4 linked regions of the Drosophila melanogaster genome follow. Changing the gene in region 3 together with the main gene of any one other region gives a genetic interaction. Each region holds a gene or a part of one and is shown on either strand. Other genes may lie near its edges. The genes, in order: mus301, nbs, mei-41 and armi.

The links.
Region 1: of mei-41 (region 3) and mus301, changing one suppresses a phenotype caused by changing the other (phenotypic suppression), as found in Drosophila melanogaster (2 studies listed by BioGRID).
Region 2: of mei-41 (region 3) and nbs, changing one enhances a phenotype caused by changing the other (phenotypic enhancement), as found in Drosophila melanogaster (2 studies listed by BioGRID).
Region 4: of mei-41 (region 3) and armi, changing one suppresses a phenotype caused by changing the other (phenotypic suppression), as found in Drosophila melanogaster (2 studies listed by BioGRID).

The regions. Positions count from the first base shown.
Region 1 is NT_037436.4:8,135,792-8,142,532, forward strand, and holds mus301 (mutagen-sensitive 301), read left to right. Parts: upstream 1-2,016; 5' UTR 2,017-2,045; coding exon 2,046-2,841; intron 2,842-2,900; coding exon 2,901-3,353; intron 3,354-3,410; coding exon 3,411-3,616; intron 3,617-3,691; coding exon 3,692-4,294; intron 4,295-4,813; coding exon 4,814-5,692; intron 5,693-5,764; coding exon 5,765-5,899; intron 5,900-5,960; coding exon 5,961-6,044; 3' UTR 6,045-6,223; downstream 6,224-6,741. Other genes in the region: Setx (senataxin), read right to left, coding at 1-26, 101-1,178, 1,240-1,422. UniProt on the Drosophila melanogaster protein: Single-stranded 3'-5' DNA helicase that plays a key role in homology-driven double-strand break (DSB) repair.
Region 2 is NT_037436.4:9,719,908-9,724,835, reverse strand, and holds nbs (nbs), read left to right. Parts: upstream 1-1,641; 5' UTR 1,642-1,712; coding exon 1,713-1,731; intron 1,732-1,796; coding exon 1,797-2,618; intron 2,619-2,675; coding exon 2,676-4,210; intron 4,211-4,270; coding exon 4,271-4,351; 3' UTR 4,352-4,388; downstream 4,389-4,928. Other genes in the region: defl (deflated), read right to left, coding at 1-1,294; CG14174 (uncharacterized protein), read right to left, coding at 4,389-4,928.
Region 3 is NC_004354.4:16,390,092-16,394,728, forward strand, and holds the start of mei-41 (meiotic 41), read left to right. Parts: upstream 1-1,606; 5' UTR 1,607-1,669; coding exon 1,670-1,896; intron 1,897-1,955; coding exon 1,956-4,167; intron 4,168-4,224; coding exon 4,225-4,518; intron 4,519-4,592; coding exon 4,593-4,637. Other genes in the region: TH1, read right to left, coding at 1-301, 372-1,084, 1,201-1,263. UniProt on the Drosophila melanogaster protein: Serine/threonine protein kinase which activates checkpoint signaling upon genotoxic stresses such as ionizing radiation (IR), ultraviolet light (UV), or DNA replication stalling, thereby acting as a DNA damage sensor.
Region 4 is NT_037436.4:3,459,699-3,466,831, reverse strand, and holds armi (armitage), read right to left. Parts: upstream 5,516-7,133; 5' UTR 5,370-5,515; intron 5,292-5,369; 5' UTR 5,258-5,291; coding exon of another isoform or gene 5,162-5,257; intron 4,729-5,161; exon of another isoform or gene 4,712-4,728; coding exon of another isoform or gene 4,529-4,711; 5' UTR 4,492-4,528; coding exon 4,048-4,491; intron 3,971-4,047; coding exon 3,542-3,970; intron 3,476-3,541; coding exon 2,873-3,475; intron 2,816-2,872; coding exon 1,853-2,815; intron 1,784-1,852; coding exon 980-1,783; intron 924-979; coding exon 600-923; 3' UTR 518-599; downstream 1-517. Other genes in the region: CycJ (cyclin J), read right to left, coding at 1-146, 210-293; CG46463 (uncharacterized protein), read right to left, coding at 4,529-4,711, 5,162-5,257; eIF5B (eukaryotic translation initiation factor 5B), read left to right, coding at 6,590-6,660, 6,734-7,133. UniProt on the Drosophila melanogaster protein: Probable RNA helicase required for axial polarization of the oocyte during early and mid oogenesis. Plays a central role in RNA interference (RNAi) process, a process that mediates mRNA destruction of translational repression.

The sequences.
Region 1 (6,741 bases), on a different chromosome or scaffold from region 3:
TGGAAGATCCGGAGTCGTGCTGTCGGCTGTTTCAAAGATAAAACAATATAAATATTGTTACTAGTCATATTAATAATAGCTAATTTATTTGTATACTTACCCTGCCGCACAACATGGTCGTTTGGAGATTTCGATTTGGAGCGCCTTCCCTTTTGTTTTGTTTGATGGACAATCACTTCGTCTGCAGAGTCTTCGTCACTGGAGGATGAGATCCGCAGTGTCCTTTTCGGTTTTTTTGCTCCAATATCTAAGTCTGAGTCTGAATCTTTGTGTTCATTCTCTAGCGGATAGGTCTGCGACATTTCTATGACGTCTGGTACCACCTTTTGGCTTAGCAGCTTTGACCAATCCGCCACCTTATCGTACAGCTCATCGTCATCGGAATCGCTGACGTAGACGATGTCGTCGTAAGCTTGGTTCGATGGAGAACCTTCAGGCAAGTTTCCCATGCCATTGGTCAGCAAGAAGTCTTCTTCGCCATCACTTACGTGCATTTCGGCCTTCATTTCCCTGATCACTGCCTGAGACATGGCGAAACTCTCATCGTATTCTTCCTCGTCGTCTACTTCCCGCTCTGCCGAAGGGTCTTCGGCTTTCTGCGCCTCCGAAATGCTCCTCCTATCCGTATCCGTGTCCAGTTCTATACAGTCGCCGTCGTGTATTTTTTTGCGGGTTATTTCATTGTTCGCGGTCTTGTTAGTTAGCTTGTTGTACAGATATGGATTTAGTTCCAATACAGAATTCAGAATAGCGTCACTTGGTTCACCAAAAATGTTTTGTATCTCTTCGGAGGTATGCTTTACGATTTCCTGCTTAACTTCTGTTAGTTTTGGTAGATGCAAATTGGAACTCGAAGGTAGTACTTCCTCTTCCTGGCCGGGGTCCTGTTTGCCGCCAAAGTTTGGTATTTGCTGTTTCAGATTGAACTCGGTGGGCTGAGTGCCAGTGGGGCATCGCACGGCGGGCAGTGGTGTTGTATCGTCATCGTCGGACGACAGAACGATTTCCTCGACTACCGGCTCCTTTTTCTTTAGGATGAATATAGCATGTATGCCAGTTATTTCATTTAGGTTGACTCCCGTGACTCCTAGGCTGATTGTGGAGCCCTCAGCTACTGCCAGACGGTTGATCTTGTCGCCCAATTTGCCCCCGTTGATGAAGAGCCCATTCAGGGGGTTCTGTGATAAAAGCATAAACTATTAAAAGCATGTACATCTTAGGTGAGCTGCAATAACCTACCAGAGACTCAACCTCAACGCCCTTTTCGCTCACGATGATATTGGCGTGCTCCCGGGACACAAATTGGTACTGTCCACCCAAGATTATCCTGCAACGCGAGTGGCGACCCATCAAATTAGTGCCGTTGTGCAGGATGAGCCGTGCGCCAGTGGTCACATGTTCCAGGTACCACACGCTGCTCATCCTGACCAACTGTTACGTTACACTCGTACTCAACTGAAGGAAATTGTGAAAACTGCTAACTTTGAGTGAAAATTGAACATTGAATGTGCGCGACGCTTCATGCACTTACTATAACAACAAATCTGCCAAGTGGTAGTGAATTACTGCATTGATTGTTGGATTTCTCTATGCAAATACAAAATTCCCGTAATAAGAAACATAAGTATTTCAATCTACTTTTTAAAACGCGAAGGTGTTCTGGTATTCAAAACCCGTATTAATTACGTTTTTTAAACTAGCAACAAGACGCACTTTTTGGTCAGCGGTAAACAGTAAATGGCAGTGCTGTTAAACGAATTAGGGGAGTGCAACGTTAAAGTACATTTAAGCCGGTTGTAATTATTTTGTTAGCGTAGCTCTTAAAATTTTGCCAGATTTTGCCTATTTAATAGGAAACACGAAAAGAAGAAAATCGTATACCGTAAATGTTATATTTATAAATAAAAGGAACGATCGTTAGGGAATACGACTTTATCAACACTTAAGTTGAGACACGATCCCGGTTATAAACTTGGCTTACATGCTGCAGCCCTGGCCTGAGTTTTCCTTCATTTTCACGCGAAGTTCACACTATTTCGCGCCAAATGGCAAATAAGCATAATTTGTGCAAAAAAAGAAGTTTGGATTTGAGCGAGGAATCAACAAGCGAAAGCCATGCCAAGCGTCAGTGCACCGAAAACCTCTTTTGGCCGGAGGGCGAAGACGACGACAGCTTCTTTTCCAACGCGCATCTGGAGGATTTGCTGGACGGACGAAAGGAGGAGCTCTTTGGCACGCAAGCAACCACAAGTACCAACAAGATGACGCAAAGTGGGTCGGATGATGGACTGGGACTCTTTGCGGACACATCCTTTCCAAGTGCACAGAGTGTTCCACCCAACAGTGCCTCTAAACCGGATGAAGCCAGTGCACCAACTGATAAACATCAAATCGACCTGGCGGACGAGGAAAACGCCGACAAGCTGTTTAAGAAAATCAACCTCAACGATCTGAGCATTGCCGAAATGGAGGATATTTTCCATGGCGCCGATGATTTTAGTGATCCCATGGTTCAAAACACACAACTCTTCTTGGACGCAATGACCTTTAAGAAGCCCAAAACACCAGAGAAGCTACTGGCCCCCCTTAAAGACGATTCCATGTCTTTCATTTCCAAATCTGTGATTGAGGGCCTAGTGCAGGGCACTCAGTATGTGACCTGCGAAGAGCTGAAGAACCAATCCCTCCTAGATCCAGTCAATTGGGAGACTCAGGCTTTTGCGGACTTCGAGAAGAATAACCAAGATATAGACAAGTTTCCCAGCAAGGGCGAATTCTATGGCCTGCCGGATAAGGTCAAAAAGATGATTCTGGAACACAAAGGCATTAATAGTCTTTATGGTATGACTGCTAATTGAAAACCAATATAAGCTTAGTTTACGATCCCATTAATTCCGCAGAATGGCAGGACGAGTGCCTAAATCTACCTGCCATCAGGCAGCGCAAAAATCTGATCTACGCTCTGCCCACAAGTGGTGGAAAAACTCTAGTAGCCGAAATCCTTATGCTGCGTGAATTACTTTGCCGCGAACGCAATGTGCTGTTCATCCTGCCATATGTGTCGATTGTCCAGGAGAAGGTGAGCGCCATGTCTCCATTTGCAATCGACCTGGATTTCATTGTGGAGGAATACACGGCCGGCAAGGGCAAGTGTCCGCCTCAGCCGCGTCGCAAAAGACGTAGTCTCTTCATTGCCTCCATCGAAAAGGGAGCTGTTCTAATGGACAGCCTGATAGACGTACAACGTCCTCATGAGATAGGTCTGGTGGTGGTGGATGAACTGCATTTGATAGGCGAAAAGGGTAGAGGGGCCACCTTGGAGGCTTTCCTTACCAAAGTGATGTTTCTAAATGGTAAGTGGATATTTTGTGGTACTTTTTGTACAGATTAATGGAATTTTTGTTTTCTAGCCAATATTCAAATTGTTGGCATGAGTGCCACAATAGGAAATCTCAGCGAAATATCCTCTTTTTTGAATGCTGATGTATACACCAGGGGCTTTCGCCCAGTTGAGCTAAAGGAGTACATCAAATGTGGCCCCGATTTGTTGGAAATAAATTCGGCTGGTCAAACGCTGGAGGAGATATTCGTCCCCAGTCGCAGTGTAGAGTACAATGTAAGGAATATTCGAATTAGACGTTTGGAAAATGTTGCCGAAAGTAAAAGATTTTGATCTAATTTTTATTTGCAGTACAGTGAAGCCGTCAAACGCGCCGATCCCGACCATCTGGCTGGTTTGATAAGCGAATGTGCTCCGGAACACTGCTGCTTGGTTTTCTGTCCTAGCCGCAAAAACTGTGAGAACGTGGCGCTACTTCTCAGTCGCATTGTGCCAAAGCATAAATTTTTTGAGCATCGGCGTAGCGAGAAGTTGGATCTAATGGATGCCCTGGACAAGATGTGCGGCATACTCAGCCCGGTGTTGGCGAAAACCCTACCCTACGGGATTGCCTATCATCATTCGGGCTTGACAACCGATGAGAGGAAGTACATTGAGACTGCGTATAGATTTGGAGTCGTCACAGTCATTTGTTGCACCTCCACTTTGGCTGCAGGGGTCAACCTACCAGCCAAGCGGGTAATCATACGTGCTCCTTATGTGGGTCAAGAATTTCTGACTTTGTGCAAGTATAAGCAAATGGTGGGACGAGCAGGTCGCGCCGGATTGGGTGAAGCTGGCGAGAGTATCCTGATAGCCCAGAGCAAAGACAATCTGCTGGTCGGACAAATGCTTTTCTCGCCTATGGATAAGGCTTTAAGTTCCTTGGATCAAAATGAGGCAGTTGGACTGCAAGTAAGTTTTTAATTAGCGAAAATTAGGTGAATTTTTTACGCAGATCTTGATGAGAAAGAAAATATTAATTTTGTTAAAACACTCATTTTGCATTTTATCGTTTGTTTAAACGTAAAAATTTCCGGAGTTTCTCTTATTTTATTTACTATTTTTTTACTTACACCGATGAATATTTCCTTAAATTGCAATTATTTTTTTAAAATCGCAGATTTTTATGTAGTTTCTTGCTGTCACTGACTTCCTAGGCGAAATCTGTTTAAAGACTGAAGAAGGGAAATGAAAAGTGTTACCTTTACATTTTTCTAAACAAAGTGACCGCGTCCTAACTACCAAATTTGGCCACATCCTACATTATTGCAAAATGTGCTTTTAATTTTGCTGATCCCTTCTATATAGATTTGTAATTTTTTTTTCAAATTGGCAGTAATGGGACAGAAGGCAGTTCTATCTCTTTTTATGCTTTTATTTGATTAATCCAAATTACGATATGCATAAACATAATATAATTTTTTTCCCTAGTCGCTTATTCTCAGCGTGGTTGGCTTGAATTTAGCAGAATGTCGTAGAGACTTGAATCGGCTGGTAAACAGCACACTGTTGTCTGTGCAGGCCAAATCCCTGGAGGTGGCCGTGAACGAGATCGTGCTCCGTATTCTCCGAGAGATGTTCAAAAATAAAGTGCTGCAGCTTGCCGAACCGCAGGCGAAATCTAAGATCAATTCTTCGGATATTATAACATCGCAGGATGTTAGTCAGGCAAATAGGCCCGCTGGCGATCGACGTTTGCTCATTGGACAGTCGACGCCATTTAAGCTGACCAATATTGGAAGAGCTGCCTTCAAGGCGGGCATCGACTACAAGCGTGCAAATGCCATTCACAAGGAGCTCAAGCAGGCCCAGCAGCAGCTCATTCTGACCAACTACTTGCACCTACTGTACCTTGTCGTGTGCTTTAACTCGAACGAAAGAGGAGACGAGTTGTTTCCGGCAGATGCCAGCATTCTGTTTGGAGTTTACACCTCGCTTCCACTGGACTCGCAGGCAATGTTCAAACAACTTGGATTTACAGAGGCCCATGCAGCTAGGCTATTTAAGACGCAGTCGGTGCAAGGTCCATTGTCCCTGCAGCTGAATCGCCTCTACAAGGTGCTTATTCTGGCGGATATACTTAACCTCCTACCGATTCCCTCCGTGGCCAGCAAGTACAACGTGGAGCGGGGAACTCTGCAGCATCTGATCAGTCAATCCACAGCAGCGGCGAGTGCCATTGTTCGCCTGTGCGAGGAGCTGGAAGAGTTTTGGTGCTATAAACCATTGTTTGAGCGGATCTTGCACAAAATGGATCGATGCGGCACATTTGAGCTGGAGCCGCTAATGGAACTGCCAGCGGTTAAGATCGTGAGTGGCAAAATAATCTTGTCCTTAACAGAAAAGTAGATATGACTATTCCAAATTGCATTACTCTTCTAGAATCGTGCCAGGCAGTTGTATGCTGCGGGTTTTCAAACCATTGGGGATATAGCCAGAGTGAGGCCGTCGCACTTAGTCCAATCCTTAGAGCACATGCCGCTTAGAGTGGCCACGGAAATTGTCTCGGCAGCAAAGGTACACGTTGTTCTTTTGATTCTGTAACCCATTTAATAAGCTTATATTGGATTCCTTCTAGATAATTTTAATGAAAAAGCTCGACCACCTGGAAGAGGAAACGGAGAACCTGAAGGACTGTTTAAAAACGTCTGATAAAAATTAGCAGGACGTAAACACAAGTAAAAACAGCAGCTTAAGTGGGTTTTAAATTTATTTCAGTTTTTGTTTTGATTGTTATGCACTCCGATTTAAGTCTTGCATCTGGGTTCTCTACAACGAACACGATCTCCGACGAAGCTTAAATATTATAGACAATTTGTATGCAAATTGCAGTTTTAAATTAACACATTAGGTATTTTTCATTCTATATGTAAATCAAGGACATCAATGCATATTTTCCTTATTGTTCTGTTCTGCTGGATATTTTATGTTATGCTTCTCGATTAATTGGACATAATCAAGTAGGAGGGAGTTATTTTTATAAACTACTAGATACGAGCTAGCAGACAAATTCGCAAGCTGCTACTATCACGACATTTGAGTATTATACAACGTATATATAAGTAGGGGGGTTCTGGACATATATAGCTCATACAGCAAAAATAGCATAATCGATCGAAGGTAAATTTTGAAAAGAGCTTTCTGCAGAATGTACCCAAAAAATTCTCAGATAAATGATTGCTGTAGGTTATCATCGGTTATGTTGTTTTTCGGCGGCTATTGCTTCATATGTCCCGAGCCATTTCGAATTACGAGTACGTTTTGTGCGGCTAAACGACTAAAGTAGACACAGATTTGTTTAAGAAGTTGGAGCCGTGCACCAAATTGGAACTCTCCTTGTGTTGGGGAAACTTATTTAC
Region 2 (4,928 bases), on a different chromosome or scaffold from region 3:
CGATCCCAATGAAGGATGTTCCAAATTCAGCGTTGGCTTTAGTGATCCTTATACCGTATGTCAGCACCCTACGGAGATCGCGGGTGCACTCCGACCGCTTGGCCGTGCAAAGGAGCAATCCTTCCATGTGCAGGTTGACCATATGAAGAATATCGTCCACCTGCTCGCCGCTGCCCTTTTTTTTTAAACCAAATGCTACTAGAACCGACAAAACTGCCATGGCCTGAGTGGCGGTGGTGTAGTCGTCCAGCTTGCTAATGCACTGGATGCACAAACGGAGCAGGGCTACGCGATGCTCGCGAAGCAGCTGCTGGCAAGTAAGCGGGCACTCGCTTAACTTCAGCAGGATTGAGAGGAAGAGGAACTGCTCCTTGGAATTGGTACACAATTCAAAACGATCAATGAGCGCTTTGATGGCTGGCTTGGGCCAGGCATGAACGCTCTGACGTCCGGCCAACTCGTTGAAAGATCGCAGCACCTGTATGCGTACTGGTGTCCTTAAGTCCTGCATGAAATCCAGCAGAACATCCAGCTGACCGGGCACTCCCACCAGCGTTCGTGATGACAATTGAGTGAGCGTGTCTATGATGGCCACCACAAAGCTCTGGGCTGGATATTTGGGCAGCAGATCCATGCACAGTCTGCTAACCAGTGACGCTGTGGTAGCCTCGTGATGCATGTGTCGCAACACGGGAATCAGGAGCAGCTTCATTGGCACCGGCACCTGAAGCGATTCGATCATGTCCGAAATCTTGGCGCACATGCTGATGGCAAAGGAACTTGACTGGGCGGCAAAGCAGCTGCTGGCATAGATGGCAGCCTCCACCTCGACGGTATCGTGGCTATCCAGAGCACGTCGAATGGCATGATGAACCTGTTGCTTCTCGGGAATCACACGGGAAACGGCGCCCAAGGTGCGCAGGAGGAGAGCACGCGCCACCGGATCGTTGGAGTGCATCACCACAAAGATACAGCGCACAAAGCTGTCAATGTTGAGGATCTTGTCCAGATGATTCTCGCTCTGCTGGCAAACACGGAGCACCCAGAAGCGCAGCAGATTCGATCCGCTGACAAAGTAATCGGCCAGCTTAATGAACGACGAGTTGATGAGAATGGGAAACGGATACTTCTCGAAGAGGCGCGGAAAGCGGACGACCGCCTCGCACTGGATTCCCTGCTTGGTGCTCCGCAGTCCCTTGTCCAGTTCCATGAGCACCGCATTCGAGTCGTGCTCATTTTCGTTAAGGAAGCTCTCGTTGAAGGTGCTCACGCGGGTGCCGGTCAGGTGAGACATGGTTACAGGTTTCCTCACTCACATTTATCGCAGATAAATCGTGTTTATTGAGGTTTTCATTAGCCAAACGACACAAAAACAAACCGGCTGCAAATGCTTCTTCTTGCTAATTTGTCGTTCGTAGGAAACTCCGGTATCATTGCAGCGATAGCTGGTCACTTAACAGTAAAAAAAACGTTTGAATCCAAAGTCTATATTGTCAATTCTTTATAAGCGTTTGTCGATCGATAATAAAATTATCCTGATTTCTAAAATAAGAAAAAAATCAATTTAAGAAACAACTATTAACTTAGAAAATTATGTAGAAAGTGATGTAGCCTATTATTCTCACTCCTTCTTTGTCTCTGTGTAGATAATTTGCAAATCTGCTAAGGTCACACTGCTCGCTATTTGTTGAATTTGTTAATGTTTTGAAATTATGTTTGTTTTGACTAAAGGCACGTAAAAATGGTCTAAAACACAGAGATTATTAGTTTATTCATTTTTTAAATACTCTTTATAGATGACGAAAAGTTTGTGTTGTTTCCTGGCAAAAAGGTGTACACCATTGGTCGCCTGGCCACGGATTTAATTGTTGCGCAGGACCTCAGTATAAGTCGCAATCATGCCCAGCTGCTCATCCAAACGGAAGCGGATGGCGATGACACCCTGCATATCGAGGACCTTGGCTCCAGATATGGCACTTTCATTTTCCCCAAGAATTCCCAAAAGCCGCGCAAGGTGCCTGCCAAAACATCGACTCCATTGCCTGTGGGCACACGCTTGCGATTTGGCGCAAACATGAGCATTTGGCAGGTGACCCAACTGAAGTTGGTTACAACTGTCTCCGCATTAACGCGTTCCGAGGTCCAGGAGCTCACGAAGATGCTTGAACCCATGGGCGGCACGGTCACTTCGAACTGGACCGAAGAGTGCTCCCATCTAACCATGAACGAAGTTTCGGTGACCGTGAAACTACTGCACGCTATGCTCGAGAATAAGCCGATTGTGACATTCCCCTACTGGCGAAAGATGCTGCAGGCAGCGCAGAGCATCCATGTCAAGGAGGGCTGGCCTCAGCCGGAGGATTACCAGCCCACCAACATAGATGTCACCTGGCGTCCTGAGCGTACCCGTCTCTTCGCCGGCAAGACATTCGTCTTCATGAACCGCAAACACTTTGATATGTACGGATCAGTTGTGCAGAAGGCTGGAGCCACGTGCAAGGACATCAATTCGGGTGTGCGCAAAACATTCCTAACAAAGAGTGATGTGATAGTCATACAGTATGTGCCATCGTCCCAGTCGCAGGCCACTGAATCAATCAATAGTATACAAGATAGGTGTAAATATATTGCTCACATCACAGCGTTTAAGTATTATTATGTATTATAATTTTTAGATATTTTGGAACAGAATGGTCGACGTATTATCCAGGAGTACGAGATTGGCATGGCCCTAATACATTGCTCTATAACAGAATTCTGCAACCCAACGCACAAGTTCATCTCCGATTCATTGCCCACCACGGAGTCTGTAACTTCCTCGATGGCCTTTAACTCTTCGATCATTGTGCCCAACACGGAACGCCACTCGGCGCAATCCAATGCCACGCCCATTTCCGAACTGGTGGTGCCTGAGTCAATTGAATGTGAAATGGAACAAGATGCTTCTAAGCCCCATTCGGAGGACCAAGCTTCTTTGCGTAAGCGGAGTCATGCCTCAACAGTTGACTCCTCGGACGAGGAGAAGAAATCAACATTGTCTAAGCGAGCTAAATCGGATATCGCTACGAAACTGACCATGAAATCAAAGAATGCCATATTGTTGGACTCGTCTTTGGAAGAAGATGTGACACCAGCTCCGGCGCCTGCTCCAGTTCAACGAGTAACAAGGCAGAGCAAAGCCATCGCTGAGGAGAAATCCGTACATCCACCTGTTCCAGCTGCGAGTAAGCACATAACACGGAAGACCAAACAGGTTTTTTGTGTTGACTCATCGGATGAGGAGAACGAAAATGCTCGGAAACCAAAAGAAACGCCAGCTCCAACTATCCCTTCGATGGCCAAGAAGAAAACGGAAGCACCCGTTGCCACCAGGATTTCACCACGACTCAATGGGAAATCATTGGCCACAAATATTACCAACCAACCGGCTGACAAACATGCAGTGCCTGCAAAACGTCCTGTTTTATCGGTGGCCTCGAGTGACGAAGAAGATGAAGGGGACCTATTTCAATTCCGTAAATCTCCACAGAAGCCAGCAGAGACTGTGGTTCAGCCAAGAATCGCAGGCAAAGGCAATGCACCTGCCAGAATCAGTGTAGTCGACTTTCTAGAGAAATCACAGGCACAAGAACCAGCTCCAGTGCCACCCCAATTGGAGTCCCAATCCCAGACACAACCGCGCAAGCGTTTACGCCTTGAGCTGCTAAACGAAAGCGACAGCGATGATTGTGATAATCTTTTTAACTTTGCAGACAGCAAAAAGAAACGAAAGACGCAAGAGGCTCAGAGAAATGATGACTCCACGGATGGCTTGTTTAACTTCAACTCTGAAAGACCGTCTGATCATGATGACGAGGATTCCCGGTTAACCGAACCATTTGTACCCGAAACGGAAAGCAAGAAGCAATCCAAGTACATAGTGGCACCGCGTAGAGATAGACCCAAGAAAGTGGACATCAGTGGTTGGTTATCGTGTAGCAGGCTAAACGATAATATCAAATCCGAAATAGATGCAGACTCAGTTAAGATGGAAACCTCTATTAAGGCGGATCCCGATGAGGAGCAATGGCTGGCCGCCATGAAAGACAGCATTGAGGTGCGCATGTGCAACTTAAACATTGTCATTCGCTCCCAGGAGGAAGTGGATGCTTCTCTTGAGGATTCTGTGAACAAGCATGGCGGCCGCAAGAACTTTAAGAAGTTTGTAAAGGTGAGTCTCGAATTAATAACAAATATTAAAACGACTTATTTATTTGTGTACCTCTGTTAGACCAAAAATCCTCATCCCCAAAAGCGAATTGTTGCGCTTAAGAGTCTTCGGCTGGCTGATGGTATGGTAACCTGTGTTTAATGTCGTGCCTAAACGTAATTAACCGTCGCTTGTGAAGTTACTTTATTTTGCTAACAATAAACTTGCGAAATATGTTCAACGCCTTTTCCGGCTCCTTGGACAACTTGCGATTGAACATCGTCTGTGCGGCCAGCCACTCGTGCTTGGCTATCTTTCTGGTAAAACAACTTTCTGGAGGAGGATTCAGTTTCCTGGCCTGCGACTCGCGTTCAATGAACTTCTGTGCATCCGCCACCGTGGCCAGAACGTTTTCATTGAATGTGGGTTTCTTTGTATCTTGAACGGGTGTTTCCTTCCTGGCAATTATGGTGCCCACATCAGATTTGGCCAACAGTTTGGCTTTTTCTACTTTGGTGACGACTTTTTTCGGTATCAGGACAATGTCTGGTGTTTCGTCTTTCTGCGTTTGGTTATTAGTTCTCGTTGGAGGTTCTAATCTGGCAGGAAGCTCTTGATTCTCCGCCAGAAACTTGTGCTTCTCCACCTGCGGAAAGTTAGCAATCTGGGGGCGCAGTTTGTTGTAAAGTATGGCACTTTTGCCGGCCTGCAAGGAGCTCAGTTTGCTAATCTTGGCAAT
Region 3 (4,637 bases):
TTTGGCCGGCTGGTCGATGACCGCGGACGCGTAGGCTAGCAGAAACATATACTTCGGTTTGTGCTCGGGATTGATTTTAACGCCGGAACGAAAGAGCGCGTCTACCAGTAGCTCCAGAAACTGGGGGTTTCGTATCAAGTCGATGGGCGGTGGATCGGAACCGGAGTAGTTGCGAAACAGCACGGTGATATCGGCGGGATTCAGTGTATTGCGGGTGAGCATGGAAGTTAGGGCTTGACATGCTTGCGGATAGACTGCCGAACCATTCAGGGCCATTGTAATAGGCGTTACATTTTGATTGCTAAACAATGAAGCAAAAGAAAGGATTTATGTTATGACTAACTATGTGGAATCGTCAGTTATTTTCATACTTCTGCAGGGCGTATTTAATAATTTCCTGAGAGAGCCGCTTCATGTTGAACCCACCCTTCTGCTCCTGGCTGAGGACCTGGATGAGCACCTGGGAGTATACGTAAGTGTGCTGGCCATGGCAGACCATTCGTGCGCACTCCTGAATGGCACCGTGCACATCATCCGGATTGTTTAGAAATTTGACGATCGAGGTCTTTAGAACCCGCGAGAAAACCTCAATCTGCTGTGCCGCTGTCGAAATGGAAGTGATCTCGCTCTGGAAGCCCGCGTCCGAGATCAACTTGATTGTAAAGTTCAGCATTAGACAATCGGGATATTCTTCGGCCAGTCGGTAGATTAGCGAGCGCCACGTATAGTGGTCGATCATCTCGGTTAGCCAGTCGGGCGTCTCACCCTCCTCCGTGAATATGGTGTCCGCCTTCTTGGGATCGAAGGACTTAAGAATCATTTCCTTGAGATGATTCTCCACCATGGCCTGGACTTCGGTAACCTTGACGCCCGCCAGGATGAGCCATTCCGCAAGCAGGTTGGCCATCTGGGCCACCGCCTTGTAGTTCTCGGATAGCATCGATATAACCTCCTCCGGAGATCCGCCCGACTGAAAGTAGCGCTTCAGCTGCGTAAATATCCCCGGCTCCATGATGTAGTCCGGTGTGAGGAACTTCTCCAGGCATTCCTGTATCGTCTTCTGCGGATTGTCCTCAAGCGTTTCCTTCGATTGGGATGGGATAACATGATGTTTAGTTGTTATTTTTTATGGTTTATCTAGTAGCGTCATCAAATTGCCGGGATTGCCTGCCACGCCGTACACGCTCTATACTCAATTACCTCCGGATTGGTTTGTCCTTTGGCGCGGCCCTGCCAACCAGAGTCGTCGTATTCCACTTCCATTTTTTCTCAAAAACTTATTTACAATAACATAAAAATATTTTTCTTATTTTGATTAACTATGCATTTTTAGTGTGACTGTAAATTGTTAACCACGACGCGCACACCTACGCGGGTTATGCGCCGTTTACACTTAGCAAACTCTTCTGTTAATTTCATATTATGCAATGTAAATCTTAAATTTGAGGAGAAAAAGAAAATTGTCAATAAGTGTAAAACGCGGTAATGTAAACATATATTAACTAATTTTTTTTTAAATTAATATATGTAAAATCGCAGTTGGAACGTGGCTGTTATTCAAGAAAAAGAAGAAGAAGCTGCCAAACATATCGATAGCCACAAGTGCGGCGAATGCCGGCTTTCGTAAACAAAGGTCGCGTTTTTGCGAGTTTTAAATAAACTTGGCAAAATGTCGACACAACGGAAGGATATGTGGAAGTTGCTTTACAACCACGTAAACCGGAACGTAAGCAACTTTTCCGGCGTGTACAGCGTTATAGAAGACATATTGTGCCAGGAGCCGAGTCTGATAAGCTGTTCGTTGGTGCGGGAGCTGCACAACAAATTCCAGGACACATTCCTACTCTGGCTGCTCAACAAGCTGGCCAAGTGCCTTAGTGAATCTCCAGATAGCAGGTAAGATGAGCCACAAGCATTGGACTCCAAACTTATGACACACCGTTTTTCTGCTGCAGCGAGTGCATCAATCTTCAAAGGAAAATACTGAGCTCCTGCTGTTCCAATCATCCTAAGCTTTTTGAACGCCTTGTACTGGCCTATGTGGAAGCCATTGAGGAGACGCACCTTCAGCTAAGTTCCCTGGACCTCGGCCAATTGAGTAATGAGCGAAAACCCGCCATAACTGTAAGAATATTCCGATGCGATGTGGAATGCCTGCAGGAGTTCGATCCGCACTGCGCTATCGAGGACATCAAGGTGCCCCTTGAGCAAGCCGACATGTATGCCAAGAGCCTGCTGGAGGTCCTCCAGCATGCCCATCACATTGGATACGCCACGCACGGCGACATCTTCTCGGGCAGCCTTCATCAGGCTCTGCTAATCCTCAAGGAGTGCGACATGGACACAAAACTGGCCAGCTTGAATTACTGTCACAATGTCCTACGATCACAGTCGGCCAGCAGCTGGATAACAAATCCGGACGTTGGACATTATGCGCAATTAACGTTGGAGGCGACGGCAATCATGTGGTCGGCAGTAGCCAAGTGGCTGGACATGGGATGTATGACGCGCCAGGAGCTAAAACGGCTCAATATAACAACAAAGCTACTGCTAGAAGTTCTGCATATGCGTGCACGTCCAGCCCACCATCTTGGCTACCTGCTTTTGAACGAGATCCTTAGTTTGCCGACAGCCATTGAATTGGACGATGGACTGCTGGAGACCCTAAGTTCCTATATTCAAGGCCAGCTAGAGCATTCGGTTGTACCATTGGAGCAACTGGTGCACTTGCAGCAGCTTATGTTAAGCCATTGGCACTGCCACCCCACACATTTGGTGCCCATATTGGCGCTAATGGGCTTGAAACAGACTGAGATGCGCTCAGGAGTGGTCCAAGTGCTTACCCAAAGTCTCGTTGAAATCTTGAAGAAGGAAGAAGTATTGTCGAAGGATTGGCAGAAACTGATTGCTATTTTACGAGGCTTCAAGCAGCTGGAGAAACTAATTCTGTCACAGAGTCAGCATAAAATAGCTGAGCACGAAGGTCACATCGATTCCTCAGTTCTGGCCATGTTACCGCTGCAGTGTGAAATCATAAAGGTTGCGGATACCAATTGGAATAACCTTTCAATGCAGCTGGTTGAGCTGGAATCAAAGTGTTCCGCAGACCGAAGACACATACACTTGGAAATCTGCTCCCTTTTGATGCAAATCACCTTCATCCGGCACTTTTTAAAGACTCAAACGCAACACCAGCTGCTGGCCATTCTTCAGCGACATTTGAAGCTGTCCTACCTTTGCGCCATTCGCTTGGAGACACCTTCTAGTGTTCATACCCAAATGCAAAGCTTCTATGCCCAGCAGTACATGAGGCTATTTCAATCCGAGGAGACACAGGAGATATTCTGTAGCAACCTTCCGCAGTTGTACATATCGGGTTTCATAAAGCCGGAGCAACTGATGAAAGCTCTGCCCACCATTAACAATCGTAGTGGCCGCGCTCAAGTTATACGCCTATTGCTCTGCTCCCAGCCAGGTAAATTGAGTGTCTTTAAAGTCAAAGATCGCATTGAGCTATACTGCCCGAAATGCAGGCCACTGCCAAAGAAACTGCCAGGTATTTACCTCGGAAAATGCAAGCAACAGCTGCCATGTCCAGACTTTTCAAGCACCAACCTCGAAATGATAGCAAATGATTTATTGTTTTATCCCGATTTTGAATGTATTGCCCAGCATCTGGACCTTCTGTGCTTTGAACCCAATGTGATTCTTGGCCTGCTAAGAGAAACGGAGGCACTGCAAAAGGTTAGCGTTAAGGTTATCGGCCAGCTGGTCTCTGCGATGCGTGTGCGTTCGCCAGAATTCTTGGAGCAATTAGCCAATCTTGTTCTAGCTGCTATAAAAGCAATGCTAGCAAAGCCACTGACAGAGCAAAATGTGCTGCAGCAAAGAAGTATGCTCAACGTACTGACCGCCATTGCGCACATGGAGGATAATGAAATCTGGCTCTTTCACTGGTTCAAAATGACATTCTTCTTTCTGGTGCACACTCGCTCACTGGTGGCGCAAGAAGCTGTGCTGGCGGCCACCGAGATGTGTGCCAGCCAGGGTCTGCAGACGATTCATCTGTGGAACTGGTACAAGCGAGATGCTCTCGACCTCACCGTTCGCCTGGCTTTGAACGTTTATCTTTTGGATGGCGTACGCTTCACCCGATCCCTCCGAGCGGTGCGTAAATAGACGAACTTTTCTTCACTTCCCAAAATTTGACCGGTCTGTTTGCAGCTTACGAAAATGTTGGGATTCACGTGCGTTCAGGAGTTCACCTGCAAGTATCATCGCCTTCTGACTGCCATGGTCCTGCCGCATTGCATCGTGAATCCGCTTTGCAAGGGAGTTTTGGTATTGATAGCCAAACAAATGCAGAAACACATTGGCACCTTGTTCTCCATCTCGTTCCTGCGGATCTACACACACGTCTTCCTGACCGAGGAACCGGAGTTGGCCAATAGTTGCATCGAGCTGGTGGTCAGTTGCACCCAGTCCAGCCTGCAACAGCTAATGAATGCGGATGTCAAGGTGGGCAGAAGTTAATTTATATTTTATTATTTTATCTTTTATTTTATTTTATTTGATTTGGTTATCACTTGTAGCAAACGGTGGCCGAGTTGCTTATATATTTCAACCGAAACCCCACA
Region 4 (7,133 bases), on a different chromosome or scaffold from region 3:
GCCAGTTTGAGCAACTGCAGCATTCTTCGGCGCTCGTTCAGCTGCGGCGAAAGGTAAAACAAAGGCCGACGGCTGAGTTCTTGCTCCCTCATGGTCAAAAATATATCCCGGGCATAGTCGGTGAGCCAGTGCGTCTTAGCCAGGCGCTACAAATTGGTATTTAACGAAATAAAGTCGGGTTCGCAAAAGTTAAGCACATGTCCGTTCACCTCGACATCTGCTTGCGGGCAAGTTTTCTTCAATTTGCGGTCGACGACGAAGATGTTCTGCTCGGCAGCCACTTTCTGCTCCATTGTATCGAAATTGAATGCAATGCCTTAAATCACCGATTTTAAGGCAAGAACTTAACGGCGGAAAAAAGCAAAACAAATGAAGGAGAAAACAAAAGGAGCGCAAACATGGCGCTACAACGGTTCCGGCCAGTGCTACCACACTGCGAAGCCAAACGAGCAGCGTTCCCAGACTGCGCTTGGGAGTGTTACCATTCGCTAAAATTAGCACATATGTACAAATATTTAAAACAAGTTTAATGATTAATTGTGTTACTTTAATTCATCAATAACAAGTGTTTTAATTTAATAATAAACTGTCATATGTGCTTAGTTCAAATCATCTGTAGTATTCAGTGAAGGCACGAATGTTTCCAAGCAAACGGGGACCTCATCTTTCTGATTTATCACCATTTGAGGCAGATCACAGCCAAAATAGGCGTTATTTTTGACACAGAACAGGATTAGCTGGCGCCAGCATTCGTCGACGGCCAGAAGATGGGGATTCCCGAAGATGATCATCATGGCACGTGCTCGGGAAACGGCCACGTTAAGTCGCTTGCTGCAACGCACGAATCCCAAGGAGAAGCGGGCATCCATGCGCAGGATCTCTTCTGATGAACGCACCGTGGATATTAGTATAATGTCTCGTTCCTGGAAATAACAAACGTTAAGTGTGCACGTAATATCGATTTTAGTTCCGACCCCACCTGTCCCTGAAACTCCTCGACGGATCCAATCTTCGGCATGACCACGTCGGTGCCAATGAACATACTCCGAAGCATCTTCACCTGCTTCTGATAGGGCGTGATTATACCGATCTGATCGGCAGTCACATTGGCACGGTACAGGGCGATGGTCATTAGGAACACCTCCCTGACCTCTTGGGGATTGAACCAGGAAGGGGAATCGTTATTTTGCCTGTTTTCGCCAATGATTCCGTAAAAGAACGTGCCGTGCGCTTGAGGGATATCCTTTTCTGACTCAAATACACACCGCAGTTTACTTAGTAGGCGAGATTCCCTTGAATCCTTTTCGGAAAGAACTGGGATCAGTTCGTCATCGTAGAATAGCCTGCTATAAATGCTCATAATCGACGGTAATGCTCGGTAATTGTACAACAATTTGGTTAGCACTAGTGGATTGTAGCCGGAGCTTTCGGGAAATCGCTGAAGATCTTTTCGATACGGCGACCGTTCCAGCAATCTCTCCAGAAAGGATATGGAAAATCCCATTTTCGAGGCAATTCGACTGGTGACAATAGACTGCAGCTGGCGAGGATCACCTGAGAGAACAACTTGAGAGCGTTTCTTCGTTAGCATTACAATGGGTACCATTGTTTCTGGTTCGGTGCATTGACCAGCTTCATCGAACAGCACGTGAGTGAAATGGCCCGCTGGAAACCCCAATTGTAAAAAGTTTCCCAAAGTAGTGCAGGTGGAGATGGTAATGCGATGAGTACCTATAAACTTAGCTTGACAGCGAAGCTTCAATCCCGATTCGGTGACCATCATCTATAGCAAATATCAACAAAGCCAAGATTAATTGGTGTCCAATCCAAATGATAAAATTTTTCTACTCACTTTGTCCTCGCAACTGCCCACAGCACCGACATCACTTGTGGCGCAGTAGCTCATTATTTCCGGAGGAATCAAGTCTTTCTCCACTTGATTGTACGAAACGAGGCGAATGAAATCTCCCTGGAGCAAAGCTTTGCTATCGATGAGCCTCTTTGTCACCAAATCCGCTGAGCTGTTCGACGGCGTTCCCACCAAGATTCGGGCACCAGGCAGATTCCTAACCAACTGGAGTAGTGTCTCAATAAGTGTCATTGTTTTTCCACTGCCCGGAGGCCCAAACAGCACATAAGGAATGTTCTCCGCTTCACCGCGCAGTATATTGAAAACAGCACGTTTTTGGATGGAATTAAGCGACTGATTATACCACTCTAATTTCGAATCGTACAAGTACATGTCGTCATCCTTCATATAAACATCCAGCTGGGGATTCTCGCGCTTGGTTACTTTGCTGGGAAACAAGAAATCCTCGCCCATTACTCCTACAATTTTGGAGATGGCATGGTGTTGCTTGCGAAAACTGTAGCGTGAGAAATAGAACTCTAGTCGATAGTCCTCGCCATTATATTTCTCCTGGAAACTGGAATGGAATTTGAGTAAAATGCGATCGAAGAGCACCTTATGGATAATGCCCTCGTATGACTTGGTGGTCTGGGAATCGGGATCCGACCAGGGATTAATGACTCGCAGTGTATCGCCAATGACCAGCGACGGTCGACGCTCGGCTAGATTCTCGATCTGCAGCGTGAGGAACTCTCCGTCACGCAGAAAGTGTGCTCGGTCTCTGTCGTAGTTGCGAAAGTTGACGAAGCACTCGATCTCCTCGAGGTGTAGGAGCAATCTGAAACGGTGCATATAGGTTTTAATGCTTAGGGGTTCCGTGAGGAATGAATAGTGCTGCTCGATGGCCTTGATCATCTCTTGTCGCCGTTCACTAGTCAAACAAATTTGGCGCAATTCTTTGGGCACCTTAAAAGAACGGTAGTATTAAAAATAAGCATATTTTTTAATGAGAGGACTCCTTACTTCAAAGCAACCCAAACGCAGAGCAACAAATCTGCGCTTGGTAACAATTTGTTGTCCCGGGATTACATCCACCTTGTTGCACCAAACTTGGTTGGCATAGAACCGGGACCTCTCCTGGCTGTTACGACCGGGTGCCATCAAAGCTTCAGCTGCTATCATACGTTTCTCAGCTTCAGCGACTTCCTCCTTGGTTTTGCACACGATCACCGTGAAGACGCGCCTCACCTTGAGTAGATCGAAATTCAGCACGTACTTTTCGATTGCTTCCCCCAGGAACTGCGTATGGATCTCAAAGGTCACCGTTATTTCGGAGCCGCTGGATATTTCCTTTGATTCGAGAGGGCTGACCACGCTCAACTGAGACTCACTGTCATTGCAGACGGTGATGCTCTCCAGGCGCAAAGTGCGGTTTAGATTGTTGGTCAGCTTTAAAGATACGCTCTCCTTTTGCCAGAGCTCTGCGGTGATGAAACGATTTACACCAGTCACCGTCACTGCTTTTCCACTGCCGGATGATCCCATACTGCTCTGCTGAGTCAGCTTGGTAGCCCCAAAATTTTTCTCCAGCGGAGTAATCTTAATGGCGCGTCTCGTAAATTTGGACTGGGGAATTAAAACACACGTATAAAGAAGAAAATCGCAAGATTTTATGTTCCTTCTTTAACTTACATACTGGCACTCGATGAGATCGGCGAGCACAATGTCGCCCAGATGAAGATCCGTGCCTGTAGGCAAGTCTGTCTTTAAAATGTAGGTTTCCGGACCCAGCACAACCATGTGCACGTACACGCGCTCCACAATGCACTTTTCACCTTCCTGAATGCGGGTGGGAAACAACTTTGTCACCTCTAGGATTTCTCCCTGTTTGTCCACGAAACCGTCATCCAGCTGAATGTTGCACTCTAGGCGCACTCGATCTCCATTCGTTGGGATGAAGTTCATCTCGATATTGTCTAGCTCGACGGTCAGCTGTCCGTATTCCGTTTCGACGTCTATGGAAGATGCCAGACGCTGGCTAATCAGACCCAAAACGCTCCTTGTTTCGGTGTTAAAGAATGTCGGCTTTTCGTTCTTCAGGTTGTCTACAGCTTTTTCAATCTAATAGAAGTTAGGATTACAGATATTAAGCATTGGCTTTAACAAATGGCTAATAAATCTAATACCGATGAGCTTACCTCCTTTTGGCTTGTGTCCTCCCAGGAATGCTCAAGGATACTCTTCACCTTGACCACCCGCATGGCTTCCCCCGTTGTAAAAGTCAAATATTCCACTACACATCCGACGTGTAGATCCAAGATGATATCCTCTGCCACCTTCGTTTCGAATAAAACGTCTTTGTCGATGACTCCCCGATCGCCGTCTAGACTGGTGATCACTCCCTTTCTGGCGGTGCAGGAACTTTCTTTACTCACGTCCATTTCCGAAAGTCCATGCGTAAGCTCAGCGATCTTGTTACTTAAAACCCCATTAATTTCGTTTGGATTCGCCTTAAGCTGTTGATCCATCTTCTCCTCCATTAGTTTTTGGTCTAAAAAGCTATTCTCCCGATCCAAACTTTCCAGAATATCCTCCCGGTTACGATCCGGGTTCGTGAAAAACTTGCTAACGTATGTGAACATTTTTGAAAATGTTTCGCCGATAAATGCTCTGCCGTTCCTACTGCGCTGCTTTCTTGTCGAGACTCTCGTACATCCAGTCGGTTTCGCTGAGATAGCTCAATTCCTTGCGCAGATTCTGCAGACGCTTCAAGTGGTTCTCCGTCGTCTCCGCCGCCTTCCCGCCCTCGGTGGTTTCGCTCTGCGATTCCGCCTTGTCAGCTCCGATCTCGGGTTTCTTAGCCTGGAAATGTGGACCATCTGTATTGTAAACATTTGAGAACATACAATGTTACCTTCTATGACACCGAAGGCTTAAATATCCTACAATTTTCATTTAACAACATTTTGTTGTTTTACTTCTACGGACAATTTTTGAAATATTTAGAGAATATTTATTTATAAATTTAAATGTATTTATAAGAGCATATATAAAATAAAAAAATTAACATTTGTATACATTTTCTGTATGTTTTGTAACGGAAAATTAAAAACTTTGTGTTAGGGTTCTTGAATTCAATAGTGATTTGTTTTTTAGTCTAGGCTGTTAAAATAACTGCAAAAAAGCAACAGTTTGAATGGAGAAAAAGCAAACGAAAGTCTCAAGAAAAGCGACAGCAACAGTTACTCCTGCACTGCTTTCGTCTCCTTCTACCACGCCAAAACAAGGATGGCAACAACAACAAACTCATACCTCTGTTTCACTGGATTCAACGGGAATATTGGTGGCCGTACCGCTTGTAGATGCTTCTTCTTTGATGGTTATACTTCCGGATGCTTCGCTGGACATTGTCCAATCACGCGGATTTACCTTGGTTATCAAGCTGTGGACCAAATATGTGAGTTCCTTACCGGCTTTTTGCAAATGCACAGCCGGATTTGCTATTTGTACTCGTACTTACAAATATTCTTAACGCTGTTGAATTAGTAGATGCACTGCACTTTGAGTTTTAAGAGTTCAATGGGAAATAGTCATAGTATTCGAAAAAACTCTCGAGCAAAATTTTGAGCACAAAGCGTCTTGGCGAACTTTTAAGTGTGACCGGACTTAGCGGCGTAGAAAATATCCTTGGCTGTGGTATTTTCTTAAAGTGTGTCAAATTAAAGCGGTGGAATATGAAACGTGAGGAAGTTGCTTATGTATTTATATTTTCCTTATTTAAAAAAAGTTCTCAAAAATAAAATGAAACAAAAATGTAAAGTAAAGAACTCAAGAAAGTATATAAAATATCGGCAGTCCACATTTAAGTTTTTGTTTTTGGAATTTACCTCCTCACAAAAATAATACACACGAAGAACTTGTTCTTATTCTTTTATCTTTTTTTCAAGAGTACCTGTTAGTTATCTGTCACTTACATTTAAGAAATAAGCAATCAAATTCCAAAATATGCCAAATATCTTTCCGCAATCCGGAAAGTTTTTCGAGTATATGTGTAAAAAAGTCCATAGATGGTTTCTTTCTCCATAAATACCCTAGTGATCGATATTATTTAAGAGTATGTTCAATACTTTTCGCAGTTGAAATAATTTACCAATTAGGAAAACCAATAAAACCAACTGCCCTATGTCTGATGAGTAAGAAACTGAGCACCAGAGGCGATAAATGGTTCCCGTAAACAGCGCACGCCAGCGCCGAGGCCGCGATTCTATTGAAAAAGGTGTATATATATTTAATATATCTTTATGTACAACTATAGACTCAAAACAAAAATACCCCGCTCAACTGGATATTACAGGGTATAATCGATAACCTTAGCTCAGCCATTGTGATTTTCAGCAATCCACTCGCACGGTCACACTGCCTGTCCAACCCTCCCGCACCGTACTACTCGACAACGTGCTTGTGTGCAGAATTTCCTCGGCTAAATAAAACCAAAAATTGGCAAAGCGCCGTGTCAGATCTAGCCGTCGATTGCACAATTCCGGAGCAGGACGTCGTCGCTGGAGCCACCGAAGCGGAGTCACCATCAGAAGATCACCAGCACCAGGAGAACCCAGTGGACAGTCCTCCTCTTTTTCTTGGCTGCCGAGGCGTCGCGTGTGCGTATCTTTCAGCGGTGAATAACCCACGGCTTTTTGTTTTCGGCCAGAGGAGGAGCGTGTTGCAGTCGCAAACGGGAAGATGGTTAAAGCTAAAAAGGGCAAGAAAGAGATACTGACCAAGGTCGAAGGCGGTTCCTCGGTGGACGAAATGTGAGTCTTGTGCAAGTTCATGCCCACCTGCCAACTTGGCAAACTTTCTATCGCAAATTATTCAATCTTACAGCTCCGATGTGGACAGCGACCAGTTGAGCCTCAACAACAAGCAGAATCATGCCCTGAAGGGCAATCAAGCTGGCGATGACGATGTTAAAGCCGTGACCAAGGGGGTCAAGAAGCTTAATGTCAAGGGAAAAGGCAAAGCAGGCAAAAATGACGACTCCGATGAGGAGGAGGTGGTGCCCGCCAAGGGCAAAGCTTCTAAGAAGTCGGCTTTTGAGCTGCTAATGGACGACGACGAGCAGGACGAGCCAGCTGCCCAGGAAAGCCAGTCTGAGAAGGAGGAAAAGGTAGTGGTCTCCAAGCCACAGAAGAACGAAAAGAAGGGCAAAAAGGCCAAACGCAAGGGGAAGGACGACGACGATGAAGATCTGGACAAGGTTTTAGCTGAGCTTCAAGCGGAATAC